Linked DNA regions of Elephas maximus indicus. The protein of the gene in region 1 purifies or fractionates together with the protein of each later gene. This does not show direct contact. Links are inferred from orthologs where the notes say so. Each region holds a gene or a part of one and is shown in the gene's direction. Other genes may lie near its edges.

Region 1 (7,876 bases):
AACCAGACCCTCGGTCTGGGATGTTTCATTTGCTTCACATTTTTCACGAGTAAAAACGATGATTTTTGTGATGGACATCTTTGGGCCTTTTAGGAGATATACTGAATCAGAAAGGGGTTAGGAAAATGGACTCGGTTGTTGTCAGAAAGACCTGAGTTCAATTTCAGGCTCTGCCTCAAGTTATTAGCATCACTGGAGCCTTGGTTGTTTCACTGGCAAAAAGAAGATCCGTTCAACAGCTCTGACCTCATAGCATTTTTTAATAACAGCATCATTGAGATGTAATTCACATACCATACAACTCACCCATGTAAATTGTAAAATTCCATGGGTTTTAGCCTCATAGGGTTTTTGTAGGATCCAAGGTCTTGGTGTCAGGAAGAACCTGGCACACCAGACATACCGTAAGCACACAAATTGCCATCGCTATTAATTTTTTGTTTATAAGTTACATTATTTTCTTATATTCCTAAGAAGCAGTAATACAGGGTCAAAGCCTGTGAGCCTGTCAAACCTTTTGGAAATAGATCTTACGAAGATACAAGGTATTCTGATTGAGGGTTTTTTGTTTCTATTTGTTCAGTGTTTGGATAGAATTGGGAGAACAGGTGTTAGTATGAAATTGTTGAGCTATTTGACCCAAGATGTCCTCTTTTATTCCCTGTTGTGTAATCCTGAATTATGTGCACCCCCATACCCGACACAGAGTATTTGGGGGAAGTCAGTTCTGGTCCCCTGAGTTCCCTGCCCTGCAGGACAGCCAGCTCTCCCCCCCTACCCCCCACCCCCCACCGTCGGCAAGGGTTGCCTTGTTACCACTGCCAATTGACCATCCTAGCTCTGGCCAAACTGGCTGCACATCAGGCAGGCAGGAAGGAGAGGCAGTGTGTCTCCACCAGTTCCATGGAGCACCCAACCTACTTACTAACAAACCATAAAAACATATTCCACTTGGCCGTGGGAGGGCTGCCTGCTGATTTCAGGGTGAGTTAGTGAGCGTTAGCCAAATCCAGGAGTGTGTTGCACCAGAGTGGTGTGTGGGTGAAATCTCAGGTATCTTGGCAGGTGTGGGAGCAAGTTATGTGACATGGGTGTGGATTAGGTGGTGAGGAATGAGAGGAAGGTGCAGGGAGGAGGGGTGGGGTCAGAGGTGGGCGAGGGTGGAGGCGAGGGATGGGGCCCCAGCTGGACTGAGCATAGTAGTTAAACCTGTGGTTGGGAACCATTTTTGGGTCATGGCCTCCTTTGAGAATCTGATCGATGCTAAGGAAAGAATGCACACACAGAAGCTCATTCAGGAGCTGAAGATTAAGAACCTCTGATCTAGACTAGTTCATAGGGACTTGTCAGAAAAAAATCCTAAGACTGCGTTACCGGTATGAAAATGTTTGTGCCATCTTATTCAAGAGAAATTTAAGAATGTTTGCATGTTTGCGAATTAAATTCCAAAGTCTACTTATTTCCTAAGGAGCCCTGGTGGCACAACGGTTTAGCGATTGGCTGCTAACCTAAAAGTTAGCAGTTCAAACCCACCCAGTGGCTTCGAGGGAGAAAGACCTGGTGTTCTGCTGCCTTACAGCCAAGAAACCCTTATGGGGCAGTTCTACTGTCATATAGGGTCGCCTTGAGTTGGAATCAACTCGACGGCGACGGGTTTTTTTTTTTTTTTTTTTAATGAGTCAGAATCGACTCGACGATACCTGACAACACTTATTTAATAAATGCTCTATTTTCTTCCAGTTTTTATTTTGAAAATTTTCAAGTCTATCAACAAGTTGAAAGGCCCTGTACTCTTATCTGCACACTCACCAATTATTTTCATTTCTCCCCAGTTCTGTTCCTGCCCCCTTGTGCTTATGCCTCCACTCTCAGAGATCCATGTTTTTTTTGGAGAACCATTTGAGAGTAAGTTGCAGGTATTACGATACTTCATCCCTAAACACTTGGCATATAACACCTAAGATCAAGGGATTTGTCTGTATATGCACAATTGTCACACTCACAAAATTCAGCCTTGATACAATATTATTATGTAGCATACTCTGTCACATGGAGTCACTATGAGTCAAGATTGGCTCAACAGCATCCAATGACAGCACTATATCCTGTACTCAAATTTCCCCAGTAGTGCCAATAGTGCCTTTTTAGCTGTATTCTCCCTTCCTTCCTCCCTCCCTCCCGCCCCCTACTTTTATCCAGTATGTAATTCAGAATCAAACCTACTTCTAGTTAAGTCTCTCAGTCTCCTTCAATCAAGAATGCTACTCCAGGGTTTTTTTTTCCCCCCTGTGACATTGATGTTTTTGAAGAGTCCAGGCCAGTTGCTTTGCAGAATGTCCCTTAGTTTGGATTTGTCTGATTGTGTTCTGGTAATTAGATTTAGGTCAACATTTTTGGCAGGAGTAATACATGGGTGATTCGTGTTCCTTCTGGTACATCACACCAGAGGGTCAGTTGGTTCTATTTTTGATGATGTTAGTTTGGTCCACAGTTAAGGTAGTGACCTCCTGGTTCCCTATTGTAATTCCTAAGTAATCTATGGGGTAACATTGTATTCGTGACAACCTTCAACTGTGGCAGACACTGGGTATGCCAGCCGTGAGCATACAGACGCAGTCCTTGCTCCCCTGCTGTTTGGACAGTGAAGGAGACAGACAATAAGCTAGGAAATAAATTAATTAAATATGCAGTTTTCTGGAGGATGTGGATATAGAGAAGTATCATCTCTAGATAAAGTAGTCTTTAAGGTGAGACTTGAAGAGGAAAAAAGATCCAGTCAAGGGAAGGCAGGGGTCAAGGGGGGTAGAGGTGGCCCCTGGCCAATCTTGGAGGGTGGAAGGAACTAAAAGATGGGCGTGTGGTGGTCTTAGGGAGGAAAAACTGAGAGAAGAAAGACCCTGGGACTGGAAATAATGATACTGAGTAATTAGTGGCTATGAGTCAGAATCGACTTGACGGCAATGGGTTTGGGCTTTTTTTAAAAAAAAAATCCTAATTGAATGGTAGCAGGGGTGGTTTAGTGGTAGAATTTTTGCCTGTCATTCAGGAGACCAGGGTTTGATACCTGGCTAATGCACTCATGTGCAGCCCCCACCTGCCTGTCATTGGAAGGTTACATATTGCCATGATGCCAAACAGGTTTCAACAAAGCTTTCAGGCTAAGATGGACTAGTAAGACAGGCCTGGTGATTTACTTCTTAAAATCAGCCCAAAAAAGCCCTATGGATCACAATGGTCTAATTCAAAACAAATTCTGGGGATGGGGCAGGACTGGGCAGCATTTTGTTCTATTGTACGTGGGGCCGCCATAACTTGGAGGCCAACTTGAAGGCAGCTAACAACAATAACACCCTTACTGAGCACTTAGTATCTACCAGACACTGATCTAAATGTTTTACAAGGTTTAATTTAATTCTTCCCATGGCCCTGTAAAGTAAGTGCTCTTGTTGGCTTTGTGCTGTCAACTCTGCAACATAGTAATTGGCCCAAGGTCACAGAGCTTTTAAGTAGCAGAACTGGGATTCAAACTTGTATTGATCTGACTCCACAGTCTGTGCTCTTAACTATACCACAGAGTAGCGAGCAGTGTCTCACCTGGAAAACAGAATGTGAAAAGGGGTTGGAGTCAGAACAGCTTTGGCTGGGTGAGGAGGTTCTGTGATAGAAGACATGGGATGGCATAGCAAGACAGAAGGCCCAGAAGATCAAAGAGAAAGGAGGGTTCCGAGGTAGGAGGCAACAGAATAAAATAGGCCAAAGTTTGTTTGATCCATCCTCAGTCATCCTAAACCCCTGGCCTGTCCCTTCAGGTCAGACCCTCACACCTTTTCTTGCTCTCCCTCCTCCCAAACTAAAACAGGTATCTTCACAGTCTCAAACTATCTCCCCACAAATCACTTATTAATTACATAGGGGAAAATAGTAACTTTACAGTGGAGTAACCTGGCAGGCACCAGCTCAACCAAGTGACCAAAGTAACCATTCAGAGGGTGTTCAGGGAAAGTTCTGGAAGGGAACTGGGGGAAAAGTGTATGAGAAAGGTCTTGTGAGGAAGGCTTTGGATGAAGAGACACTAGGTCTGCGGGTGACAGTGCAGGGTCCAGAGGGGGAGTGGGTCCTCTGGGGGAGATGAAGTGACCTTGGGGTGGGGGGAAGTTCTGGGTGGGGAGAAGGAGTCACTGGGGAGAGACTTTATGGGAACAGTTTGGGTGACAGGAGGGTAAGAATAGGGTCAAGTATAGGAGGCCTTGAGGTGGGGAAACTCTGGGTGACTAGAGGGTGAGGGCTTGCGGTAAGGGTCTCCAGGACAATTTTGAAAGGGTCCGAAGGCTCCAGGGCAGCAGTCCGTGGGTGGGGAACGTCCTGGGGTAAGCGCGTCAGGACACCTGAGCATGGGGCGATTTGGACCCGGGAGGGGGGCGGCGGGTAGCCGGGGGCGGGGCCGGCGCCGCCCGGCGGGTCCCCCCGCGCTGCAGGGGGCGCTGTGAGCCCGGGCGGTGCCTGGCCCGGCGGCGGTCGCTCCTAGCGAGCGCGGCCCCTTTTCCGGGTTTCCTCCTCCTCTCCTCCTTCTTCGCCGCCGCCGCTGCCCCTTTCCCGGCCGGCGGCTGCCGCTGCTGTTGCTACCGTCGCTGCTGCCGCCACCTTGGGGCCACCAGCCGAACCGAGGCCGCTGCGGAGCGCGAGCGCCGCCCGCCCAGCCACCCCGCCGGCCGCTCCTGGGCCGGGCCGGCCAGGCCGGCGCCCCCCGCGCCCCCAGCCCGTCCGCCCCCGCGGGCCCGGCCTGGCGCGGCCGCCCGTCGCCACCGCCGCCGCGCTCCTCCTCCTCCTCCGGCGCCCCGCGGCCAGCCGCCGCCTCCGCCCGCCGCCCCGCGCCCCCTGCCGCGCCGCCGCCGCTGCTCTCTGCGCCCAGCGGCGCCCCCCGGTCCCGCCCGCCATGCCCGGCCCGGCCGCGGGCAGCAGGGCCCGGGTCTACGCCGAGGTGAACAGCCTGAGGAGCCGCGAGTACTGGGACTATGAGGCGCACGTCCCGAGCTGGGGGTAAAGCCGCCGCCGTCCCTCGCCGGCCCCCTGGCTCCCCCTCTCCCGCCCGGCTCCCTCTAGCGGGGACCGCACTCGTCCCCCGGCGATTCGCCGCTCCGCCTGCCCCTCTCCTGGGCCAGCTCTTCTCGGGTCTGGGGTGGGAGCAGCGTGCCTCCTCTCACGCATGTCCTTGTCCCCGTTTCCGACTCTCCCTTTTTTCCCACCTTTGCGAAGAACCCGTCTGCCTTCTCCAAGGAATGCTTTCTTCCTGGGGAGAAGTACAGGGTGCAGGGGCTAGAGCCTATGGAAGTGAGGGGGCAGCCCTTCCTCCTCGCACCTTTGGGTTTCTGCTGGGGTTGGAACTAAACAGCTGTCCCCCTGAGCTATTAAAATTCTCTGCTTTTTTCGTTTTTTCCTGAAATGGAGATAGATGGGTGAGAGAAAAATTTTTAAGGACGTCCAGATTCTCAAAGTAGGCGCTGTCTACCTTGAGGGTGTGAAATGAAGCAGGAGCGAGGGAGCCAGGGCTAGAGGGGCACCTTGTGGTCCTCCAGGATGGATGCTTTGGTCTCCCGCCAGACTGGCTCAGAGCGGTGCCTTCCTCCCTCATCCCCCCAAGTTATCAGGGACTAGTTAGGAGCTCTGTGCAGAGTGAAGGGAGCCAGGTCTATGTTGTGGCTTTCATTTAGGGATGTGTCGTGATGTGATGTATAGACACTTCCAAGTGCTTGATTAACGGAAGAGGCTGGATGAAGTGTATAGTGGACGTAGGCTTGGTTAACCCAAGTCCTGGCATTTATGTGTGTCTTTTGCCTTTCACAGTAATCAAGATGATTACCAACTGGTTCGAAAACTTGGTCGGGGAAAGTATAGTGAAGTATTTGAGGCCATTAACATCACCAACAATGAGAGAGTGGTTGTAAAAATTCTCAAGGTGAGTGTATTATGAGGGGCGTTAAAAATACTTTTTTTTCCACAGGTCAAAAGGATAGCTAGCCACTGCAGTCACATCCTAGAATAAGCAGTGCTGGCTCTCATTTTGCATATCATTTTTTGTCCGATGTCCCTCACTATTCCTTCCATCCCATTTTCCTGTGAATTTCCAAGAAAATATGCAGACTGATCTCAAATCTAAACATGATAGTTTAGGAACCATCCTTGATCTGAAATTTAAATTATGGGCTCCCAAAGCAAAAAATTCCAAAGGGACTCCATTTATTACGAAGTAAATGGATGTTCAGAGGAAAGAAAACCTTTTTCATGAGGCACCCATCAATCCAAGGGCAGCTGGAGCTTTTTGTCACCCTTGGTGCTCTGAGTTATTCCAGAAAGAACACTGGAAAAAATTGGAGCCACTTCAAAGATGAGTTTGAAGCTCAAGTGAAGGGAAACGCCTCAGTGGGTAGTCAAGTGTTTCTTCTACTTTAGTGGTAAAGTTTCAGGTGGGGTGGAAATGGTGAGCCAGTTATGCCGAAAAGGTTCATCGTTGTGTGTTAGCTAGTAAAAATGAAATTTGGAGCATAGGAGAGTGTATTTGTAATCACTGAGATGATAATTGGAACAAAATGGTCTTAAGATCTGGTTTAGTGGCATAAGTTTGATAACGATACACATTTTGTTATCTCATGAATGAAGACATTATCTTAATGAGCGTGAAGCATTGTCTAAACTTTCCTTTAGGTATGTGATCAGTTGTGTAGCTTTAATAATGTTTTACAGGGTGCACTGAAAAGTAACTCTTAAGATCTGTGATGGGCCCACATTATGGTCAGGTCATTTAATACCTGTACATACCATTTAGTGAAAGATTCAGAAGACTCAAGGGTAACATAAACACTTTACATACATGTAATTTCCAGTATGATCATTTTGCAAAGGTTTTGTCGAATAAGAATGTGAGATTAAAAATCTGTCTTAAGGGTAGTGGTAGCCCAGCTGTGTAGATAGTCCCTGTTGAATAGGAGGGGTCAGACTCATGGTGTCTGAAAATCACCTCTCGGCAAAGCGTTTGGCTCCATCACTCGGAACCATCCTAGTCTGGTGATGAAGGAGCAGAATAGCAGTAGAGAGAAATAGGCAGTTATTTGTGTTGTCAGAAACACTGGCGACAAGTTGATGTTAAAGGTGTGTAGTTGGACTTGCCTCTTCCCTAAATATGGGCTTCACCTAAAAAGTCACGGGTCCTTTTTTTTTTTTTTTTTTTAAAACAAATAAAATTTTCCCCAGAGGGGTCATCTGGGAAGCCATATAGTTTATTCCTTTATGTAGATAAGCCTAAATGTTTTTAATAAAAGCTGCTTCACATCTTTCTAGGAAGTAAGCAGGACATAAATTGAAATTAGAAATTTTCACATTCCACTACTATACATTCAGGAGAGTAAACTGCTGACTCTAAGGCAATTCTAGAAAAATGTCTAAACTTTTATGCAGTGACAGCACTTTTAGCATAAGCACGCAACCTCCCATGGTGTCCTTTTGAAAGAAATAGCAGTCAGGTGTAAGTGTAAATACCGGTGTGTTCATTTAGGACAGCATTACATTGCTCTTCTGTCGGCCTTCTAAAGAACTTCATAGGGCCAGTTGCTGGATTGTTTTTCCCCTGCTCTAAATATTTTCAGGATATGTTTAGGGAACCCAGTATGGAAGCTATAGGTTATTTTTACAAATGGGCAGCCTAGGCACAAAGAAACTTTTCTAACATCATTATGTTGAAATGACCCTTCACTCAAGCTCCTGTTCCCTATCTTTTCCTGTCTCTTACTGTTCTCTTTAGCACTGGTTTGTAGGGTCTTAACACTGGGCAGAGTCTTCTGGAGTAAAACTTGGGAGGCAGGCCCCCTTGATGCTCAAATTAATG
Region 2 (7,636 bases), on another chromosome or scaffold:
TTGAACAAGGGGCCCTGCATTTTCATTTGTACTGGGCCCCACAAATTATGTAGCTGACCCTAGATACTATCATTACAACCATTTCACAAAAGTGGAAACGGAAGTTCAGAGAGGTTTAGTAATTCGCCCAAGATCACACAGCTGCCAAGTGTCAGAGTTCAGACATGAACTTGGATCTCAGATGAGACAGGATCCCATGATCTCAAAAAAAGAGCTTCAGCCCAGGAATTAGAAGACCTGGATCAAATTTCTGACTATAGCCCTGGGCAAGTTTGCTCCCACTCTGTGCCTCGGTTTCCTGAACAAAAGTACTCTGTGATATCTTCCAAGGTAGCACACGGTCTCAAGATGTGGCTTTGCCACTTAGACAGGCTATGACTTTGAGCACAGGGAAATCACCTTTGCCCACCTTCCGCACAGAGCTGATTTGGCAGATAATAGCACCCACTCTGCAAGACACTCTACAACATACAAAGCACTTGCATGCCCCTCCTAAGCAACAGTGAGCAGAAGGCTAGGCAAGAATGTCATTATCCCCATTTTACCTACAGGAAAGTTGGAGCACCAGAACTGGGAAGTGACTTGCTCAAGCTCACATAGGCCCCTTCTCTCTCCCTGATATATTCCACTGCATTTCAGGCAAGTTTGGAAAGATTAAGAGGACTCCACTGGCATAAGGTCATAATAAGAACACCCCCATATGAACATATGAGAAGATGGGTCACACCCTTGGAGAGTCCTGGGGCAGGGGGAGGGAGGGCTGGGCAACATGGGCCTCTCAGTGCAGGACCCCCAGCTCTGAGGGGCTTGGCTCAATCCCTGACCTTGAGGGTTCCAGGTCTGAGGGAGGAGGCCAGAGAGGTAACCAAGATCTCCTAAAAAAAGAGGAGGAACACCTGCCTAGCAACTTTCAAAGGGTGACTCAGTATCCTGTGAGATGTTTACCCAAGACAGGGTGGGATGGTATCTACACACCGATAGACAAACAGGCAGGCTGAGGAACTGAGGGACAGAACCAGCAGAAGCATCCCCTTAACTCTCGACTCTAGTCCTCAGCCTCCCCACCCACCAATAGTCCACTGGCCAGTCCTGGGAGAGGTCTCTAGCTGTGGAGAGGGCAGAGTCTGGCTAACCAGAAGCCATTGCAGCTGGGTGATGCATCCTTGGCCCTGCCTGGCTGCCCCGGGTTCCTCAGCCCCTGGTTCCTTCGGGGAAGATGTGGCATCTACACACAAGAGAGCCACAAGCCCAACCCAAACCTGGGGTTTCTCTACCAGTGGGACTGGCTGCCCTGGGCAGCCACCTCTTTTGCCTGGGGCTTCTGGTGACCACAAGATGTGTTTATATAGTGGTTCCTGAAGTCAGGGAACCGGGCAGAACAATCTGACCCAAAGGTTCTAGGTCCTCAGTCTCATGGGTCTTTGCACAGTTCACTTCCTCAATTCCTTCAGGCCTCTGATCAAATATAACCTTAACACAGAGACCCCACCCCCTTTTCTTTAGCCATCTCCTATCTCTCACCTGACACCATCCTCTCTCCTGTCCGTGCCCCGTCCTTACCAGAAGCTCTAGTACAGAGCTACCCAATAACACTTTCTGTGATGATAGAAATGTTCTTTTCTGTGCTGCCAATACGGTAGCCACTGACCACATATGGCTCTAGAGCATTTGAAATATGGCCACTGAGGAACTAAATTTAAATTTCTATTTAATTTTAATTAAGTGTAAATGTAAATTACCATGTGTGGCCAGTGGCTACTGTATAGACAGTGCAGCTGTAGAGACAAAAGAAGACAACAAAAACAGGACTGCACCATAATTTGGGGCTTCGAAAGCACTTACACAAGCATCTTCTTATTTGTCTGCCTGTAGAAATAGGTGTGTTTACTCCACTTTACAGAGAAAAAATACTGAGGCTCAGGGCAGTGAAATGGCTTCCAAGTTGACAGAGGTAGTAGGTAGTAGAGGCATAATCTAACCCCAGACCTCTTGATTCCAAAATGCCACTCATACCTCCATAGCACTCTGCCCACTTCCGTGTTGTTGTGTGCTATCGAGTGGATTCTGACTCATAACGACCCCACAGGACAGAGTAGAACTGCCCTATAGGGTTTCCTAGGCTGTAATCTTTACAGGAGCAGATCGCCAGGTCTTTCGTCCTGCAGAGCCACTGAGTAGGTTTGAACCACCCACCTTTCCATGAGCAACTAAGCACTTAACCACTATGCCACCAAAGCTCCTTCCCACTTAAGTAGTCATCACATATTTATTGGGTCATTGACACTAAGTACCTGCTCTGGGCTAGACAAGGTGAATTGACAAAAAGACATCTTGTCTGGTTAACTACAAGTCATTGTATCCTTGGCTCTGCCCCACTGCCCTGGGTTCCTGGTTATACATGTAAATATTATTGAATTGGCAGATGTTTTGTTATATATATTTTTACTACAATAAAAAAAATGTTTTAAGACAAATAAGATACAGGCCCAGGCTTTGAGTGGGAATTCCTAGGACAAAGTATAATTGCCCCCGTAAGAATATGGTATAAAAATTGCTTTGATTTTTTTCCAAGTAGCTGAAAGCACTTTGCTTTAAATACCATCTACATTTGATGGTTCCCATATTTACATTTGAGGTTCCAACTTCTGCCCAGAACCCCCAGCGTACATACCCAACAGCCTACTCCACATCACCCCTTGATTATCAAATTGGCTTCTCAAGCTTAACTGTTCACGACGAACTTTTAATTTCTCCCCATCCATACCAAACCAAAAACCCATTGCCATCAAGTGGATTCCGACTCAAAATAACCCTATGGGACAGAGTAGAACTGCCCCATAGGGTTTCCAAGACTGTAATTTTTTACAGAAGCAGACAGCCACATCTTTCTCCGGAGGAGTGGCTGGTGGATTCAAATTGCCAACTTTTCTGTTAGCAGCACAGCGCTTAACCTCTGTACTTAACTTTAAACCTGCTCATCTCCATCTCAGCAAGTGGCAATGCCATTCTTCTAGTTGCTCCTCCCCAAAACTTAGGTGTCATCTGTGACTCCTCTGTTTTTCATGCCTTTCATCTGATTTATCAGCAAATATTGTTAGCTCTACCTTCGAAAAGCATCCAGATCACTCACTACTGCCACTCTAGACTGTCATCGTGTCTAAACGGACTGTTGCAATAGCCTCCAGACTACTCTCCTTTGCCAGCCTCTCCACATTCAGTTTTTCATACAATAGTGAGAATGATCTTTTTAAAAACTAAACCAGAGCATGTTCCCCCTCAGTTTAAGCCCCACAATGGGCTCTCAAAGTCCTAACAGTAGTTCATAAGGCCCTACAAGAGCTGGCCCCTGATACTTCTCTGACTTCCTTTCCTAACACTCGGCTCTTTCAGGTCCAGCCACACCAGGTCTTCCTGGTCACCCCTTCCTGAGGGTCATTGCACAGTTCACTCCCTCACTTCCTTTGGATTTCTGATCAAATGTCCCCTTATTACAGGGCAGTCCCCATCCCCTTATCATGTTTTGATTTTCCCCATAATTAATTTTTTTTTGTTTGTTTTTAACGTTTAATAGAGGCCCTGGTGGTGCAGTGGCTAACAGATGGGCTGCTAACCAAGAGTTCAAATCCACCAGCTGCTCCTTGGAAACCCTATGGGGCAGTTCTACTCTGTCCTATGTAGGGTTGCTCTGAGTAGGAATCCACCCCACCGCAACGTTTGTTTTTTTTGACATTTATTATGTTTGCTTGTAGTTGCTCTCCTCCCTCCAGAGTTTAAACTGCAGGGATAGGGTTGGTGGAGAAAATACAGGGCGCCCACTTAATTTAAATTTCAGATAAACAATAAATAACTTTTTAGTGTATGTCCCAAACGTTGCATGAGCCAAAAAAAAAAAAAAAAAACCCACTGCTGTCGAGTAGATTCCGACTCATAGCGACCCTACAGGACAGAGTAGAACTGCCCCATAGTTTCCAAGGAGCGCCTGGCGGATTCGAACTGCAGACCTCTTGGTTAGCAGCTGTAGCACTTAACCACTACGCCACCAGGGTTTCCATGATCCATATTTATGCTTAAAAAAAAAATTGTTCGTTGTTTACCTGAAATTCAAACTTTACTGGGTGTCCTGTATTTTTATTTGCTTAATCCGGTAACCCTATGCAGAAAGACAGGGACAATGGTTGTTTCGTTCATTGCTGTATCCCCAGCGCTAAAATAGCTCCTGGCACCCAGTAAGCTCTCAATAAACATTTACGGAATGAAATGAATGTGTACAGTGTTTCGTTAATCTGAAACACGTCTAAACTTTCGGTAATAGCGAATCAGAAGGGTGGAGCCTCTAGCCTGGGTTAGCCCAGTTCACTAGTGAAGCAGTTGAGGAACTTTCGAAGCCTGCCAAGCAGCTGGATGTTTTCTTTACCCCGCCGCAGCTCTCCAGCGAACAAAACTCCGCCTAAGCTCTGGTGAGCCAAAGGTCCCAGGTGGCCCTCCCGGGGGCGGGGCCTCCTCTAACCGGTGAGCGGGGCCCAGACCTCGGCAGAGCCAGGGCCCCTTTAACGCCCCGCCTCCCCGCCACCACTCGGGCCCACGGGTGACGTCACCCGGAGGGAGACCAATGGGAGCGTGGCTTATTGGCAGGCGGCCCCAGAGGCTGCTGCCAAGGGGGAAGTAAGCCGGGGCTGGAGCGATGGCCCGGGTCTGGAGCCCGCGGCCGCCGCTGCCGCCACCAGCGCGTCGGGAGCAGCCGCGGCCCGAGTCGGGGCGGGGGTATGAGTCGCGGCTGCAGTGGGAGCGGTGCGTGTGAGTTGCCGAGAGTTGCCTGAGCCAGAACATCTCAAACTCTGGGCAGGAGCGCTTCAGGTGGGCTGAGCTGGGGTCACCCCTCAGCGCTGCGCCCCCCGGGCCCAGGCAGCAGGACTGGGTCTTCTCAGGCGCGGGACTGGCCCTTCTCAGGCCGAATCCCGGAGCCGGGCTCTGGGTCTTCCTCTCGTGGGCTCCCTTCAAACTCGGGACGGGGGCCGGGGAACAGTGAACACCCTAGACCAGGGCTTCCTGGCCCAGGCATTTTTCCGGCGCTTTCCAGGGCTGTGTCGGGGTGGCAGCCTCTAGAAGCCCCCTCCTGCCAGTTGTCCAGCCAGAGAGGGGTTACGCGCTCCTACTGTCTTCCTCTGCACTCCCCTCTGTGCTCATCAAAAACAAGCTTCTTTTTTCTCTCTATTGGAAATCCTACACTGTAGCTCCAAAACACTACCGGTGTGCCCTTCCCCAGCTCCTAGAGCACCCTTAGAAATACTACGGGCTTATCAGGGCTGAGAATCAGTCTTGATTTAGCTTTTCCTCTCTTTGGGAGATAAAAAGTTACTCTCTTTCCAGCCTTTTAACTAATTGATCTAGGGCCTTAACCATTTGGATCACCAGCTTCCTGGCTTCCCCTATGTGACTTACCCCACCTATCTGAGTTCCAGTTTTCTCTGGGCTCCAACTTCCAGTCCCTAGCGGATCTAGTCAGTCCCACCCCTGGGTGGGAGTGACTAGGGGGCTCCAGCCCAGAGTTCCCCACCCTGGAAGGCAGCTCCAAGGCACCCAGAGAATTGGGCGTAGGGTACGAACCTGGCAGCTCAGGAGTGGGTGCTCCACTCACCCCCCACAAGAAGATGAAAAAGCGCAAAGAACTCAATGCATTGATCGGCCTAGCTGGGGACAGCCGAAGAAAGAAGCCCAAGAAAGGCTCGGGCCACCGCCTGCTTCGCACTGAGCCACCTGACTCAGACTCTGAGTCCAGTTCTGAGGAAGAAGAGGAATTCGGTGTAGTTGGAAATCGCTCTCGCTTTGTCAAGTGAGTGAGGGGTGGGATGGGAAGAAGACATCTTTGCACTACCAAGGGGCAAATTTAAGAGAAGAAAAAAGGATATAAACCTTAGAAGGCAAAGAGGGAGAAAAGGTGTTAGGTAGAAGACAAGTACAGATCCTGAATGAGGGATAGATTAGGGATCTGTCTGTAAGTGTGAAAAGCTCAGAATCTAGGGTGAATGTGTGGACTTGGGGGATATGCCAAGAGCACAGGAAGTGCACGGTGGGAGAAGACATGCTAAGAACAGAGACATAGGGACAGAGGAGCTTTGGGGATAGGGTCTCTAAAAAAGAATGCAGGAGAGACGGGGACATTCAGACTGCGTATTACTTATTTTTTGCACTCCTAATGAACCTGAATCTTGGTAATGGGGAAATAGGATGCAGGACATAGTGTAAGAAGTATGAGCCCTGAGAGTAGATGAAGCGTGGGGACAAAAAGAAGAGGCAGCTTTTTCCTAAAACACTTTTAGATGGAGTGGCCACTGGACAAATCAAGTAGTAGTGAGCTTTAAGGACATTGGGAATGGGGCTTAGGGTATGAAAGAGCTGAAGGGGAGCTTTGAAAGTACCCTTGGACCCTTTCAGGGAGCAAGCAAGGACTAGGCAGAAGCTTGAGGTGCTAAAATCTTTTGTTTGAGGTATTTTTTTTGTTTAGAATGTCTGTTCTTTTATTTTGTTAAACAAAGAATTTGCTTTCTAAAGAGTTCTGTCAAGTTAGGTAGTTAAGGACCATCCTGGGTTTGGAGTGTGAAAGGCTGAGGAAGCATTAATCCTGAAAGTCACCCTACTGGATTAGTTCAGACCCTGAGTGCGGGTTGAAGTTTGGTGTGAAATCCAGCCCCTTTCTATGTTTCCTCTTTCTGAGCCAATAAGCTAGAGTGTATCAGATGTCCACTTAAACCAATAGATCGTATTTCTTTCATTCCATTTGCAGTAAAACTTGCTCAAAAGTTTGTGTAGTTTCAGTAAACTGAAACAGGGTCCCCTGGAATAAAGGCATGTGTGTCTGAGAAAGTGAAACAAATGGATGTAGGTAAATTACAGTACAGAGAAGCAATAGTCTTTACACTTTTCTGACCTGAGCGTCTCTCCAAAGACCCCCCTCCTGAATTTATGATGATGGCCATGAGCTGCAGTGCCCACAGGTGCTTCCTGTGGCCCACAGGAACTCCTGTTCCATGTGCAGTTTGAAACCTTTGTACTCGATAGATGAACTCTTCGTAGGTCGTATTATTTAGTCACGTTCAACCTGCAGTTCAGACTTAAGTGCATTACCCTATGCCCCACAGTAAGATTTAAAAAAAAAAAAAGATTAGGGAAGATAATTGCACGGCAACACATGCATACTATTTCTAATAAAGCTGCACTCGGAATCACTTCTGTACTCATAGTTGTATCTGTTCTTACAATCAGGGGAGACTATTTACGATGCTGCAAGATCTGTTATCCCCTCTGTGCTTTTGTCATCCTCGCGGCCTGTGTCGTGGCCTGCGTTGGCTTGGTGTGGATGCAAGTTGCTCTCAAGGAGGATCTGGATGCCCTCAAGGAAAAATTTAGAACAAGTAAGTGGTTACTCTTGCAGAGTGTAATCTTGGAATCTTTTCCAGGTCCTAGGATAAAGTGGACCAAATTGAATTAAATAAGCATTTCACCTAGTCTGATGAAGCAATTATATGTTGCTTCCATGTTTTTATACACTTTCTTAGCTGCCAGTTTGAATGCTTAACAGTTATTTGTTTTTAAACCCTCTAACAAAAAACAGTGCTTACGCACCATCAGGACAAATCAC
Region 3 (7,713 bases), on another chromosome or scaffold:
GCTGTAGATGAGGCATCTAATGGGGGTTTCTTCCTTGGTAAATAACTTTTTTTTCTTTTCTGTCTAGAGTAGGAGTTTGTAAGATTGCTTTCTATATCGTTAAAATTCAGGACTTTCACCGATAATATCTAAGAAGTGTGTTTTTGAAAAAAACAACTAAAAGGGCACACCAGCTCAGGGGCAAGGACTAGAAGGCAGGAGGGGACAGGAAAGCTGATAACAGGGAACCTAAGGTTGAAAAGGGAGAGCGTCGACATGTTGTGGGGTTAGTAACCAATGTCAGAAAAACAATATGAGTACTATCTGTTTAATGAGAAGCTAGTTTGTTCTGTAAACCTTCATCTAAAGTACAAACAAGAAACTGCCTAGGACACAGTGAGCCCTTTACAGTCACATTCACAATTCTTTCTTTAGGAAAGTTTTCTTCTAGTATTTCTTTAATTATTATTTATGTATCAATTCCCCACCTCAACTCCAGTTTCCGTAGTGACAATTATTTACATACCAAGTATTTTCTTCTGTTAGACATAGGGTCACTGTAAGTTGAAACCAACTAGACAGCACCTAACAACAACAAGTCTCCTGGGGAGCCCTGGTGGCGCAGTGGTTAAGAGCTTGGCTGCTAACCAATGCCTTCAATGCAGCTTGGACTTCTTCCTTCAGTACCGTCAGTTCCTGATCACATGCTACCCCTTGAAATGGCTGAATGTCGACTAATTATTTTTGGTATAATGACTCTGTGTATTCCTTCTATCTTCTTTTGACGCTTCCTGCGTCATTTAGTATTTTCCCCATAGAATCCTTCACTATTTCAACTCGAGGTTTGAATTTTTTTCTTCAGTTCTTTCAGCTTGAGAAACACTGAGCGTGTTCTTCCCTTTTGGTTTTCTATCTCAAGCTCTTTGCACATGTCATTATAATTCTTTACTTTGTCTTGAGATGCCCTTCGAAATCTTCTATTTAGTTCTTTTACTTCATCATTTCTTTCTTTTCCTTTACCTGCTCGATGTTCGAGAGCAAGTTTCAGAGTCTCTTCTGACATCCATCTTGGTCTTTTCTTTCTTTCCTGTCTTTTCAATGACCTCTTGCTTTCTTCATGTCTGATGTACTTGATATCATCCACAACTCATCTGGTCTTCGGTCGTTAGTGTTCAACGCATCAAATCTATTCTTGAGATGATCTCTAAATTCAGGTGGGAAATACCCAAGGTCATATTTTGGCTCTTGTGGACTTCCTCTGATTTTCTTCAGGTTCACCTTGAACCTGAACAATTCATGGTCACATCCATTGTTGGCCCCTGGCCTTGTTCTGACTGATGATATTGAGCTTTTCCATCCTCTCTTTCCACTGATGTACTCGATTTGATTCCTGTGTGTTCCATCTGGTGAGGTCCATGTGTATAGCTGCCATTTATGTCTGTGAAAAAAGGTATTTGCAATGAAGAAGTCGTTGGTCTTGCAAGATTCTATCATTCAATCACCGGCACTGTTTCTATCACCAAGGCCATATCTTCCAACTACTGATCCTTCTTTGTTTCCAACTTTTATATTCCAGTCACCAGTAACTATCATGCATCCTGATTGCATGTTTGATCAATTTCAGACTGCAGAAGCTGGTAAAAATCTTCAGTTTCTTCATCTTTGGCCTTAGGTTGGTGCGTAAATTTGAATAGTAGTTGTATTAACTGGTCTTCCTTGTAGGCATATGGGCATTATCCTGTCACTGACAGCATTGTACTTCAGGATAGATCTTGAAATGTTCTTTTTGACAGTGAATGCAACACCATTCCTCTTCAAGTTGTCATTTCTGGCAGAGTAGATAATATGATTGTCTGATTCGAAATGGCCAATACCAGTCCATTTCAGCTCACTAATGCCTAGGACATCGATGTTTATGTGTTCCATTTCATTTTTGATGATTTCTAATTTTCCTAGATTCATAATTCGTACATTCCATGTTCCAGATATTAATGGATGTTTGCAGGTGCTTCTTCTCATTTTGAGTCATGCCACATAAGCAAATGAAGGTCCCGAAAGCTTTACTCCACCCACATCATTAAGGTCAACTCTACTTTGAGGAAGCAGCTCTTCCCCAGTTGTCTTTCGAGTGCCTTCCAACCTCAGGGGCTCATCTTCCAGCACTATATCAGACAGTGTTCCACCGTTATTCATAAGGTTTTCACTGGCTAATTCTTTGCAGAAGTAGAGTGCTGGGTCCTTCTTCCTAGTCTGTCTTAGTCTGGAAGCTCAGCTGAAACCTGTCCTCCCTGGGTGACCCTGTTGGTATCTGAATACTGTTGGTATAGCTTTCAGCATCACAGCAACATGCAAGCCCCCATAGTATGACAAACTGTCAGACACGTGGGGAAAGAGCAGGTTGGACCTTATGTGTATGATCCACCTACTTCCATGCAGTCTTAATGATTTAAAGTCCCACTACCCCAAGCATGGAAACCCTCATGGTGTAGTGGTTAAGAGCTATAGCTACTAACCAAAAGAGTTTGAATCCACCAGGTGGTCCTTGGAAACCCTATGGGACAGTTCTACTCTGTCCACTCTACGACAACGGGTTTGTTACCCCAAGCATAAGCTTTGGCCCGAGATAGACAAATGTCACTGGTTTTTTAATCTTTGACAAGTAATTTAGATTTTCTAAATTTTGCTTTTCTCAGCTGTAGGGTACGACTAATAAAAATCACCTCATAAGATTCATGTGAATATCAGTTAAAACAATGTTTGTGAAATTACTTAATAGTGCCTAGCACATAATAGGCATTCAATAAAATTTCTCTTTCTACTCCCGTCTCTCTATCCCCATGCCATCCACATGTCCCATAGCAGGTGGTGAGAGATCGGGGAGCTTGGGATTTGGATACTTGGTCCCTATAGTATGTCTCTGCAGAACTTCTAGCTCTCTTCCTTAGCCACTGCTTTCTTGATTTTTCTCCTACATACACCTTCCTCTGTAGCTGAGCCAATTAAAAAAGAATTTGGCATACACTAGACTAATTTATGCTCACATATCTTTAAAAAGTTATATATGGTTTCTATGGACTGAGTTATTGTGCCCCAAGTTTGTCTTGGAAGAAGTGCAGCCCGAACGCTCCTTAGAAGTGAAGCTGGTGAGACTCTGTCTCACATACGTTGGACATGTTATTAGGAGGGACCAGTCCTTGGAGAAGGGCATCATGCTCGGTAGAGGGTCAGTGAAAGAGAGGAATATCCTCAAAGAGACGGATTGACACAGTTGCTGCAATGATGGTCTCCAGCATAGCAATGATTGTGAGGATGGGGCAGGACTGATGTTTCGTTCTGTTGTACATAGGGTTATTATGATTCTGTACTGACTTAACAGCACTTAAACACAAATTATTGTGCACTGTTATGTGTTAGGAACTGTGACAGACACTGGAGATTGAAAGAATGGTGAGCAAACAGTAGACATTGCTTCTACTTCTAGTTTAAGAGGGGCGATAGATATTAATCTAATGATCTCACAATAGAACGTAAAATGGAATTCTGATACATGGTATAAAACAGAGGTACAAGGTGCCTAAAAGAATAAATACTAGAATTTTAAAGGTCAATCCTTTCTTACTGACATGTTTTCCAATGGTCTTCCACGTCATTATATTCTATAATTGTCTAATTAATTTTTTTGATGTTTCTTTGTAAGTTGGACAAAACTCCTGGGACATTGCTTCCAAAAGACCCTTATTAATATTAACCTGTAACTGGGTGAAAAGTTTGGGTGTAGAGAGATGGAGAAGGCTGCTAGTGTTGTCCTTAGGATTTTCCTATTAATTAATACATTGGAACTAAGTATTTTATCAGAATGGTTTAGATACTTCAACTTTAAGAAGATAAATGAGGGCTGGCTCTGAGCAAATGAGTGGTAGAAAAGTTGAGTTCAAAGAAGCTTGTGAACTAATGGCGGTCCCAATCCCTAGACAGATAGAGGCTACACGGAACTCAAAGCTAGGGTGCATGGATGACCCCAGTCAGTATATTAAATCTTCAGCAGGAGGGATGGTGGTTTCATCAAACCGGGGAGGGATAATGTCAAAGTAAAACACTTCACTTTACAATTTTATCTATGTTGGGAGTTTACTTAAACCATCTCAACTTAAATGTTCACGGCCCCTCGTTAGGTGCAGTCCGCCTGAAAGGCAACACTACTTTTGAACTCTTGGTAATGCATAAAAAAAAAAATGCATACAGGCGACAAATTAAGGGGAGAAATGGGTGACAAGTACTGAATTAGGGAGTTTGTTAATAGGAAACTCCTCCGGAGAGACAATGGGCTAGGGTCACTCCAGCCCTTCGTCCAGTCCGATCCTTCAATTGCGACCTACCTGTTCAAAAAGTAGTATTGGTTTCCGATAGCCGCCGACCGTCCTTGCAGGCGAGCTAACGTGGCCATAGCGCCTCGGCTCCGGGTTTATACCTGGTGTTACTACCGGTCTCTATGGCAACGGGGTAAACCATTAGGCCAGTCCCGGGGGTTCAACTTTTCTTTCACGCCTCTGCTTTTTCACTTTTTTTAGGCTTCAAAAACACTATAAAGATCACTAATAGCTTTATGTGAAGGACAAGGTTTAATTTAACTGCTCGCGTGTCTTCTGTGGGCAACACGGGGCGGTGGAGCCGAGGGGAGGAGAAGTAATGGTTGCTCCGAGCATCCGGCTTCCGCTGCCGCCGCTTCCGGAAGCCGCTCCGAAAATGCGCCGCTGCCCCCCGCGAGTCGCCGGCGCTGCGGCGGTTGGAGCCTGCTCTCGGGCCTGAGCCTCCAGGCCGGGCCCCCGGGTGTCGTTAATGTTCGGGGCCGCCGGGCGCCAGCCGATCGGAGCTCCGCCCGCCGGGGACAGCTGGTGAGGCTGGCGGCCCCGGGGCGGGCGAGGAGCGGGCGCGCTGGCCGGAGGCCGCCGACCCGGCCTGGCGGGGAGGGAGTGGCCGTGGGCGACCTGGAGTCGCGGGCCTGTCCCCACCCGCGCCCGCGCCCGCCCAGCTGGAGGCAGGCGTCCAGGCGTGGGCTCCGGGCTGGCGAAGGAGTACAGTCCATGCTTGTCCTGCTCGATGAGCACCCTGCGCTGCTTAGGGGCGAGGTTCCTCTCTCCGTGGGGTGTGCAGCACCTGGGCAGGAGAAGTGTGAACCCCTCGAGCTGGCCGTGTTCGCCCGCTCCCCCTTTAACACGGACCAGGTCGGGCCCGGTATCCTGGGCGATCAAGTCTGGAAGAGTTCTGGACGTTTAGTAGTGCGAGACATCGCCCTCTCATGTCCTTGTTTTGGGAAGGGGTCATCTACCTGTGTCCACCCCCTTAAACCAACCATTCCAGTTCACATGTGATGTCTCTGGGTGTTCCCGAAACTTTAAAACACACGAATATCAGAATTATGTTTGGGGTTTGACTTCATCTATGATATCACATCATCAGTGCCGCTTCAACATGATACATTGCTTTGACTTACCACAGTGCTTTCACAAATTAATACACGTTATCTTTACAGCGACCCTGAGATAGCAGGTTGTCACAGGCGCAGAATACTTCAGTCATTGGCATAAAGTTTCCCTGTGTACTTTATTGTCCTAGAGCTAGAAGCTGGTTTGGGGATTTCTAGTTGAAAACTGTGATGTTGCCTGTCTTATTTTTTTCCACCCCCTTTTCCTCCAAGCGTACACAAGACAAACAGTGAAACACAAGCAGATTTCCCACTGACAATCCTCTGACATAATGCTTTGACTAGCAGTTGAAAGGTGGGCTAAAAAGTTCATATCCACTCCTGGACTCCACAGAAACAGAGGGTGGGGAGAATTCTAGCAGTCTGCAGCCTCAATTTCTTTTGCTTCACCTATCACTGAAAAGTCAAAAGGATTTCTTGCCCCAAATATTTGGAAATGGATCAGATCATCCTGCATTTATTTTATGATGCGTATGGATTCGGTTATGTTCCTTTAAAAAAAGTTTTTCAATGCATAGTTCTTAAGTGTTTAGTTTGGTTAGTTTTGGCAGTTCTATATACTTGCGTATAAATCACCATACAAAGCAAGATATAGGATATAATCACCCAGGAGATTTCCCTCTTTAGGACACCTTTCTTGATGTTTCACCATTCAATATCTTGTTAAGAGAAGGAGACAAAATGTGCTTTGTAGCTGGGTCTTCTCTTGCTGTGGTGGTTTTGGTTTGACGCAGCTTCCTCTCCCTCCCTCAGCTGCTACCCTCTATACCTCTTTTAGAGTGTAGAGAAACACTTCTTCGGTCCTCTTTTTAAAAGCCTGTCCCCTTTCCTTTTCAGCATACAACTCATATTGGGGCCCCAGAATGTAACATGGTACCTAGTACTTTATCAGCGTTTTCGAATGAAACTCTTAAAATCATATCTACTTTGGCAGGGTGAATGTGTTTACTGGAATCTTTATTTTTTTAGTTTATTTGCACAACTGTCCATTCATTCAAAATTTGTTAATGAAATTCTTTTTCATTCATTGAGCATTTACTATACCATACATGTATGTTTCTTCCCAGTGGTAAAATCCCAGCACCAATGGGGATGTTACTACTTAGTACTTGGTGCCAGGTTTTACATCCTTATATTATGTAAATCTTTTGAGGTAGGTGCTATCATTATTTGTATTTTACAGATGGCGAAACCAGCCAAGGATGGTTTAAATAACACAAAAAAAGTGTCATATTTGCAGTATGATTCCGGTATGGTATACCTACAAAAAATTCTTAACCACTGTTGTATACTGTGTGTCGGAGTAATGTACAACCCATCAAGAAATAACACCCTAGAAAGCAAATGTCCAGATTTGTAAACTGACACGGAGTACCCCCATCTAGGCTTCTTCAAATTTTTCTCCAGCGTGGAGGATAGGTTTTCACATTTTAGGCACCAAATGAGTAAATGTAGATGATTTTATTTCTTATTTGAAAAATCAAAACTGGTATTTTATAGTTAAGAATCTAAGAAAGAAAAATATTATGCAATTAAATTATAAAAATCTCATAGTATGTCAGGAAATCAATATATTTTCTGTGTAAGTTAATCTTATATATGGTTCACATTATGTTTTTATTAAGAAAATGTTATGGTTTGGAGAGTGTCTGTACCTCCTTCCTATCTTCTCACTCACACGCATTTTAAGGCAGGGTGCGGAAAGTATCTGTCTTGGTACTTCAGACATTAACCTGCCTTTTAAAATTTGGCGCATTTAATGTACAAATCACATCTAGAATTTAGATACTCGGTTCCTTATTACCTTTTACTTTATTATGGGTTTATTTTTCAAGTCAGTTTCTGATTTCTTTGACTTTGAAGTCTCAACTAAACAAATTAAAAACAATAGTCCTTGGTTATGAAAATGTTGAAACATTGACGTATTGAATTGTAGTATTCTGTGTATTTAACATTCTTAAGTGGCTTTTTTTTTTTAAAAAGCCGCTGAAAGTAGGGTAAACCACATTGCTCTGGACCTCTGTTTTTGCAGTTTCATTCTTATTTGGTATTTCAGTTTTCTTTAGGTCTGGAAGGCTGGTAATTGAAAAACATCCATTTTTTTAAGTAGCTTTTTTTGTTGTCATCATTCAATTTTGTACTGTTGGGATTGCTTGAGTCAAGTTTCTGTTTCAACGATTAGGACTCAAACCAAAGACCGGTATGAGCTGGGGCAAGTTACTCATTCATCTTTGTACAGCTTCTTAAATAGC
Region 4 (7,180 bases), on another chromosome or scaffold:
ATTAATCATGTCGTGCAACCATTAGCCTTAATCAATATCAAATTTCCCATCACCGTAAAAGAAACTCACTGCTTCCCCTATAAACCTTTATACAGGGCTTGAATAAATCTTTATATGGGGATTCATTCATCCCTCCAGCATTTTTGGAGAGCCTCCCGTCTGCCAGGCATTGGGGTGAGCAACACAAACGTGGCCCTTTTCCTCTTTGAGCTTACAGTCTGCACATAAGTGCAGGGGAATCTGACCAGTGCTAAGACAGAATAATTTGGGGGGCAGGGAAGAATCCTGGAGGAAGGCTTATACAAAGAAACCTGAAAGCTTTGACATGGAGAAAGAATTGCAGGAAGACCAGGGTAGAGGCAGTGAGGACAGTTAGGGGGCTGTTTGAGTTGGGACAAGGGATGATGGGAGCCTGGATGGCAGTGGTGTCTCTGTTCTCATGAACCACCTGTTTGAGGTCTGTCTTACCTTTGGACTGCAAAGTCCATGAAGGCAGGAACTAAGCCTGCCCTGTTCAGTGCTGTAAGCCCTGTACCAGTCTCTGGACCTGGGACATCATATGCAGCTGGTAACTGTGGACCTTAGCCTGTCTCTCTGAAGGTACATATATACCTTCATCACAGCGTTCTTGTAAATAACCCGATGAATGTGAAAGCACTTCGTACATTGTAAAAAGTGATACTTTGTGTGGTAAAAATATATAAAACAAAATCTTTGTCATTTCAACCTTTTTTACACATACAATTCAACGACATTAATTACGTTCATCACGTTGTACAACCATCAGTATGCTGTTTCCAACTTTTTCCCTCACCCTTAAGAGAAACTCAGTGTCTCCCAAGCAATGACTTCCCCCTTCCCTCTCCCCGCATATGGTAACCACTAATGAACTTTGGTCTCTACATTTGCCAAATTCTAGATATTTCATGTAAGTGGGATCATACAATATTTGTTGTTTTGTGACTGACTTATTTTGACCATGTAGTAGCATGTGTCAGGGCTTCATTTTTCTTTATGGTTGAATAATATTCTATTGTATGTATGTACCACATTTTGTTTATCCACTCATTTGTTGATGGACATTTAGGTTGTTTCTACCTTTTGGCTCTTGTGTATAAGTATGCGTTTGCATTCCTGCTTTCAGTTCTTTTGGGTATATGCCTAGGAGTGGAATTGCTGGGTCTTATGGTAATTCAATGGTTAACTTTTTAAAGAACCACCAAACTGCTTTCCACAGTGACTACATCATTTTACAAATCTACCAGCAATGGATGAGGGTTCCAATTTCTCCACAGACTGGCCAACACTTGTTTCTGTTTTTTCTTAAAAGTGATACTTGTTTTCAAGCTGTAAGATATTATGTTACAAATACGTATAATGCAATGCCTCTCGTGTGTCCTTAACAGCTCTTTTGTGTGTGTGTGTGAATCTCCCTCACTCCACTCAAACTGGAAAAAAAAAAAACCCAAAATATTTTATTAGATAACTTATCCAGTCATATATAGTATAAAAGTAGCTTAATTAGAAAAAAACCTTCATCATCCCGATTGCTTCCTTTTACCTACCACTTGCTAAGGAGCCCTGGGGGGCACAGTGGTTAAAGCGCTCGCTGCTCACCGAAAGGTCGGCAGTTTGAACCTACCAGTTGGTCCACAGGAGAAAAATGCGGCAGTCTGCTTTCATAAAGATTTATAACCTTGGAAACCCCATGGGGTTGGTATGAGCTGGAATTGACTTGATGGCAGTGGGTTTGGTTTGGATTTTATCATATTCAGATTACCTGTTTTCTACTAAGCAAGCATTAATCAACGACAAGTAATTATGCTTCATCCCTGGCCCAGGTTATGTGTCCCTGTGTGGTGTAAATGGTTAGGTGCTCAACTACTAGCCAAAAGGTTGGCTGTTCAAATCCACCTGGAGGTGCCTCAAAAAACATGTCTGGTGATATACTTTTGAAAGATCGCAACTTTGAAAATCCTATGGAGCAGTTCTACTCTGCACACATGGGGTCGCCATGAATCAGAATTGACTCCATGGCAACTAACAACAACAACCTAGCTCAGATTAGACCCTATATTGTCTCTCATTGTGTCCTTTATCCACCCCAGCCACCATTAACATCTTGAAAGCAGGTATCATACATTTCTTTATCCCCTGCATTTAACCCAAGAGTCCCTGGGTGGTGAAAATCGTTAATGGTGGGACACTGCTAACTGAAATGTTGGAGGTTAGAGTCCACTCAGAGGTGCCTTGGAAGAAAAGCCTAGCAGTCTACTTCCAAAATCAGCCATTGAAAGCCATATGAGCTCAGTTCTAGTCTGACACAGATGGGGTCACCACAAACAGGTTTGACTCAACGGCAATTGGATTTAACGTTATGCCTGTACTGGTACTGAGTACCTGCAATCGAATTTAATAGGCAAATTCATCCTGAAAGTTGACATTATACCTTTACTCTTTCAAAAATATGGTGCTAGATTCTAAATAAGTCTATTTAATGCACTTAACATAGCTATTTTATTACCAAATGCTTCACATACTTTAAATAATTTTACAGGGAAAAGGATCAGCGATGTAAAGATGCTGGATTTCATTTTACCTCCTGTTTTTCTAGTGTTTGGCTTGTTGTAGGTCTACCAAACAATGAGTAATAATTAACAAGTTCATTTTGCCATTTTCTTTGAGAGACGATAATGGAAAGGTAAGAATCTTGGAAAGCTTTTTCTTTTTCTGACATTTAGACAGGTTTCCTTTTATTTAATTCTTTTGCATCTCTTTATTGACTACTAAATAATTTTCTATCTACAGTGCTTTAAAGGAAGATTTGCTCTTATGTTTATCTCTTTAATTTTGACTTAATTATTACATTCACAAATGAGTCTCTTGATCTTGCGCCATAAAACTGTTCCTGTAGCTTAGTACTTGTTCGTTTTGTATCAACCCTTGGTGGGTCACATTTTTTTGGGAGTAAGCTCAGCTACATAGAGTAGTTTAAGCATTCCATAAGAGGAAGAACTCTCTGAAGTTAATTTTAAAATAACTTTTTTTTAAATTAATTTTTTTGTCCATGTCTGGATTTTCCAGTTTTCTTTATGGTCATAAATTAAAAGACCTCTTAGCTGAGGCAGAAGGATTGTGGGGGAAATGTTTTTCGTGTATGTACTGTGGTTTCCTCATTAAGGTAGTACCCCCTCATTAGTTCACATATCCCAGCTTACAAAATGTGTAATAAGTTTATATTAATTTATTCCACTGCTGCTTTCTGAATTTGCCTTCTGAACTCAGCTCAATTTCATACCAACGGCTTGAGAAATTAGATTCTATTTAAACGTCTCTCAAATTCTAGGTACGCTAATTAATTTTGGAACACTAAAAGTGTTAATCAATAGTAAAAGACTGTAGCAGAGAGCCTGTTATAAATGGATTTTTTTCACTAACACTCGCTTTCTTACATTCGTTTGTGACGTGCGCTCGGTAATAGCGACCACCCTCCCCTGTATTTGCAGACATTATGCAAATTTGTTCTGTTCCAAGGCTTTTGCTCTCTGCCAGATCGCTCTGTCCATAGACCCTTCCCATCCTTCAGGTCTCACCTCAAATCGAGGTGACTCCGACTTTTTTATTCTACCAAGATATGAAATAATCTTGCTTATTTGCTTACTTATTGCGTCCTCCCTTCCCCGTGCTTGTTCCTCACGGGGCAGGGCCGTATCACTTCCCAGGGGTCAGTAGCTCAATACATCCCGGTTAAACGAATTAAATTTAGCATTTCATTGAGCTAAGAGAACCCATTCCCTGGCCGCAGGGAGCCTTATTTATTTTAACTTTGTATGACTGCAGAAATGACGTTAAAAATCAATCTGTGCAGACGCCTGCCTTTTCGCCAGGCAGAAACTCTGACCCAAATTTCACCTTTCCCACCCCGATTCTCGCTCAAGGAGAGGGAAGGGACCTGAAGCAGGTGCCTAACGCCACTCTGCGAAGTCCGGAGGTAGCGCCGGAGCCCGCCGGCCTCGACTCCCAGCGCGCGCGGAGGACGCGGCCACAGCCACGTCAGCGGACGCGCGTGACGCCAGCGCGCCTGCGCGCGGGGAGGTGCGGCGCGCGCACCGAGGCCCGCCCCTACATCCGGGGCCTGGGCGACCGCGGCGGCGCCGCTTCGGGGTCACGTGGCTTCTTCCTTTCCGTCTCTGGCCGGCTGGGCGCGGGCGACTGCTGGCGAGGCGCGTGGAGCCCTGCGCTGGTTCCCCTTCGTCTCCGCTCCCGGCCCCGGGCCGCTACGGAGTTCGCTGAGGCCGGGTGAGCTGAGCCTGCCGCCAAGATGCCGGCCTACTTCCAGAGGCCGGAAAATGCCCTCAAACGCGCTAACGGTGAGTAGGGAATTGGGGCGGCCCGAGGCCTCGGAGGTCGAAGAACCGGGCCTGCTTCCCGCTGCTCCGCCCGGGCTGCGGCCGGAGACGAGGCCGACGCGGCCTGCCCGCCACCGACACCGCCGCGCCCGGGCAGGGTGTCCTCTTCTCGAGCCAACCGACCGGGGGTGGGAGGCGCGGAGCCGGGAACCGTCGCTCCGGGGCCCTTCGGCGCCCCCTCCGGCTGCTCCGCGGACACCGCGCTCCCGGAGACGGGCCCCACTCGGGCTCGACTTCCTTCCCCGCGTCGCCTGCGGCGGGCTCCGTGCGCCTCAGCCCGCGCCCCCGGCCGCCATCTGGGAGTGCCGGGCCGGAGGAAACATGGCTCCCTCCCGGGGACAATGCACGCGAGAGCCCCGGCTCCACCTCCCGCCGGCGCCGGGGGCCTGGCGGTGCCACCTCCGGCCCTCCCTCAGACTCGGCTGCTCCCAGACCCCGCGGCGGACTGCGCTGGGGCGCGGTCCACTTAGCTTCCCCCGGCCACTTTCTTCCCGACTCGGGGCGTCTGACCTACTTAACCTGGTTCTAGCTTCCAGGTGAAGATTAGGGCCAGTCCCAAACTTCGGAATCGCAGGAAGTTGGAACAGAGTCAGTACTGTTAAAGGGTTCACGTCCTCGCTTACAGACTGCGTCCTGAGGCCTAGGGAGAGAGGATGGTTGGCCCAAGGAAGCTCCAGGACTTAGTTGTTGAGCCAGGAGAAGAAAACCAAGGTCTCTTGACGTCCAGACCAGTCCCTTTTTCTCCAAAGCTCTGCTGCCTGGCGAGTTCTGTTTTCATACGTGTAATTTAGCCGCGGCCGCTTGCGGGAAAACTTGTGTGTGTCCCGAAATTAATTTTCTTTTCCGGAGTTCAAGTCTCCATCTAGTCAGGAAGCATTTACGTTGCCATTATGGGGGTGCATATGTATTTATGCACGTCTCTGCTCTTTTAAGAAAGTTCCTGTGTAGGGTTAATTAATTTTTAGGCGTTCGGGCGTCCGTAGGGTTTATTTCCACTTTTCTCCACCCAGACAAGCTTCCGATCGTGTCCATGGCTATTCCGTGTTTCTTACAGTTTCATGAGTTTGTTTGGAAATGCATCAGGTAAAAAGGTCAGTTTCAGTTAATAGGTAACACTGATACCTACTGATAGATAATCTGTCAAGACAGATTTGTGTCGGTCACATGCTTGTTTGTTAATAGGCTAATCCCACAGACTATAAAATAAAATATTTGTTTAAAAAAAAAAAAACTACAATTTGAATCTGACTAGTGGTCGTTTTAACCAGCGGCCTAATCGTTAGAACAGGCATGGAGTTTAAAGATGTCAATTTATAGGAGGTAAAGTAGATTTAAGTTAAAACTTAGCACTACAAAATTGTAGCAAAGCTTGAATTTTTTTTTTTTTGGTGTTTTGAAATTCAGAAGGACATAAAAAATTTGTATGGCATACAGAATTACTTAGATGAAATTACTGCTCGACGTTGCTGTTGTAGATTTGTTTTACAGTACTTTTTTTGTGTGCTTTACCAGCAGGTGTTCTCCACAGGCTGATAGATTGAAGCACTGTAATCTTAATGGCTTAAATATGACACATTTGGTGTGTTCAGGACATCTGCATTATTCCTCCTCTTTGAATCTTATGAATTTAATATTTTAGTAACTTTTAAGTTAGGAGAGCTATATAATTTATGTAAAATCTTGTTCTATTGACTGCTTTTGAAAAGGACTTGTACAGCAAGTTGGGGAGAGTGTCCAGAATTAAAGTAGGCAAGATGAGAAAAGGATATTTGTGTAGCTTTTGTTTTTTAAAATCTGTATTGACTCCTTTCCGCAGCTTTTTTAAGCTGCGGGAAGGAGATTTCTGTGGAAGAGATTCTTTTTTTTTTTTTTACCTTCCAAGTGGTAACTCCTGTCCCTTTGATCTTGTGAATGAGGGTTTCCTTTTCAAAGTCTCAAGGTGAGCACATTGTGGGTGAAGAAATCATAAGGCACTGCTTATAAAACTTTAAAATGGGCTTATAAAAGTACATTTCATTCAGTGGAAATAATTTTATGAAATTTTTTTTTTTAAATCTATAACATTTGTAACTCCAAGCATTTAGGCCCAAATTATTGCACTATCTTAATAAAATACAAACTTAAGTAGAATAGTCCTTAAAGCCTGTTTAAGTCTGTATATCAAAGCAATATTTCATTAAAAAGTTACAGTAATCATTCAGGAAGAGGAGAATTTGGCTCAGCAGTTACAGCAAACTCATACTCCACAATAAAATGAAGAAAGCTCCTTTTCTAGATTATATCCTTAGTATTGCTGAAGAGCTGCTCCTGACCCTATAAAAACCTTTTAGTTTGTACCCTACAACCAGTGATTTAAAAAATGATAAAGTTGTTATAAAGCCACAAATAGAGTAATGTTATAGCTTATTTACTTTGTCTGTTGCACTATTCGTAAACTAATAGATGAGAATGGCTGGCTTACCTATACTTTTTTTCTTATGGATACATAGTTTCAGTTATTGTATCTGAAAGGTAAATCAGAATGCCCACAGTCCCAGTAAAAAAAAACTAATAAACTGTAATTCCAGATTTAAATTTTTTTGTTTGAAGACTATCAATCTGGAAATCAGTGTTTCCTAAAAATATTGGAATAGGGTCTTTAGTGTATGTATGATAGTTTTTTTCTGGCCTCAAAAACTTTTCTTTCCTTCTAATTAGATAATTCTGACCAATTTAATCTCCTTATATGTCAATTAGGATAAAGACAGAAGACTCAAATCATGGATTATTGT

The links.
Region 2: the proteins of CSNK2A2 (region 1) and EFCAB14 purify together in Homo sapiens (affinity purification with mass spectrometry; 4 studies listed by BioGRID and IntAct, with this or other methods). This does not show direct contact. The link is inferred for Elephas maximus indicus from reciprocal best matches to the Homo sapiens genes CSNK2A2 and EFCAB14.
Region 3: the proteins of CSNK2A2 (region 1) and GPATCH2 purify together in Homo sapiens (affinity purification with mass spectrometry; 6 studies listed by BioGRID and IntAct, counting the BioPlex papers as one, with this or other methods). This does not show direct contact. The link is inferred for Elephas maximus indicus from reciprocal best matches to the Homo sapiens genes CSNK2A2 and GPATCH2.
Region 4: the proteins of CSNK2A2 (region 1) and EIF3A purify together in Homo sapiens (affinity purification with mass spectrometry; 3 studies listed by BioGRID and IntAct, with this or other methods). This does not show direct contact. The link is inferred for Elephas maximus indicus from reciprocal best matches to the Homo sapiens genes CSNK2A2 and EIF3A.

The regions. Positions count from the first base shown.
Region 1 is NC_064839.1:25,024,302-25,032,177, reverse strand, and holds the start of CSNK2A2 (casein kinase II subunit alpha'), read left to right. Parts: upstream 1-4,867; 5' UTR 4,868-4,933; coding exon 4,934-5,037; intron 5,038-5,841; coding exon 5,842-5,953; intron 5,954-7,876.
Region 2 is NC_064821.1:89,340,795-89,348,430, reverse strand, and holds the start of EFCAB14 (EF-hand calcium-binding domain-containing protein 14), read left to right. Parts: upstream 1-4,631; 5' UTR 4,632-5,648; coding exon 5,649-5,830; intron 5,831-7,260; coding exon 7,261-7,409; intron 7,410-7,636.
Region 3 is NC_064842.1:6,778,477-6,786,189, reverse strand, and holds the start of GPATCH2 (G patch domain-containing protein 2), read left to right. Parts: upstream 1-4,704; 5' UTR 4,705-4,815; coding exon 4,816-4,871; intron 4,872-7,713. Other genes in the region: SPATA17 (spermatogenesis-associated protein 17), read right to left, coding at 4,356-4,423. UniProt on the Homo sapiens protein: Enhances the ATPase activity of DHX15 in vitro.
Region 4 is NC_064834.1:69,739,184-69,746,363, reverse strand, and holds the start of EIF3A (eukaryotic translation initiation factor 3 subunit A), read left to right. Parts: upstream 1-4,165; 5' UTR 4,166-4,321; coding exon 4,322-4,370; intron 4,371-7,180. UniProt on the Homo sapiens protein: RNA-binding component of the eukaryotic translation initiation factor 3 (eIF-3) complex, which is required for several steps in the initiation of protein synthesis.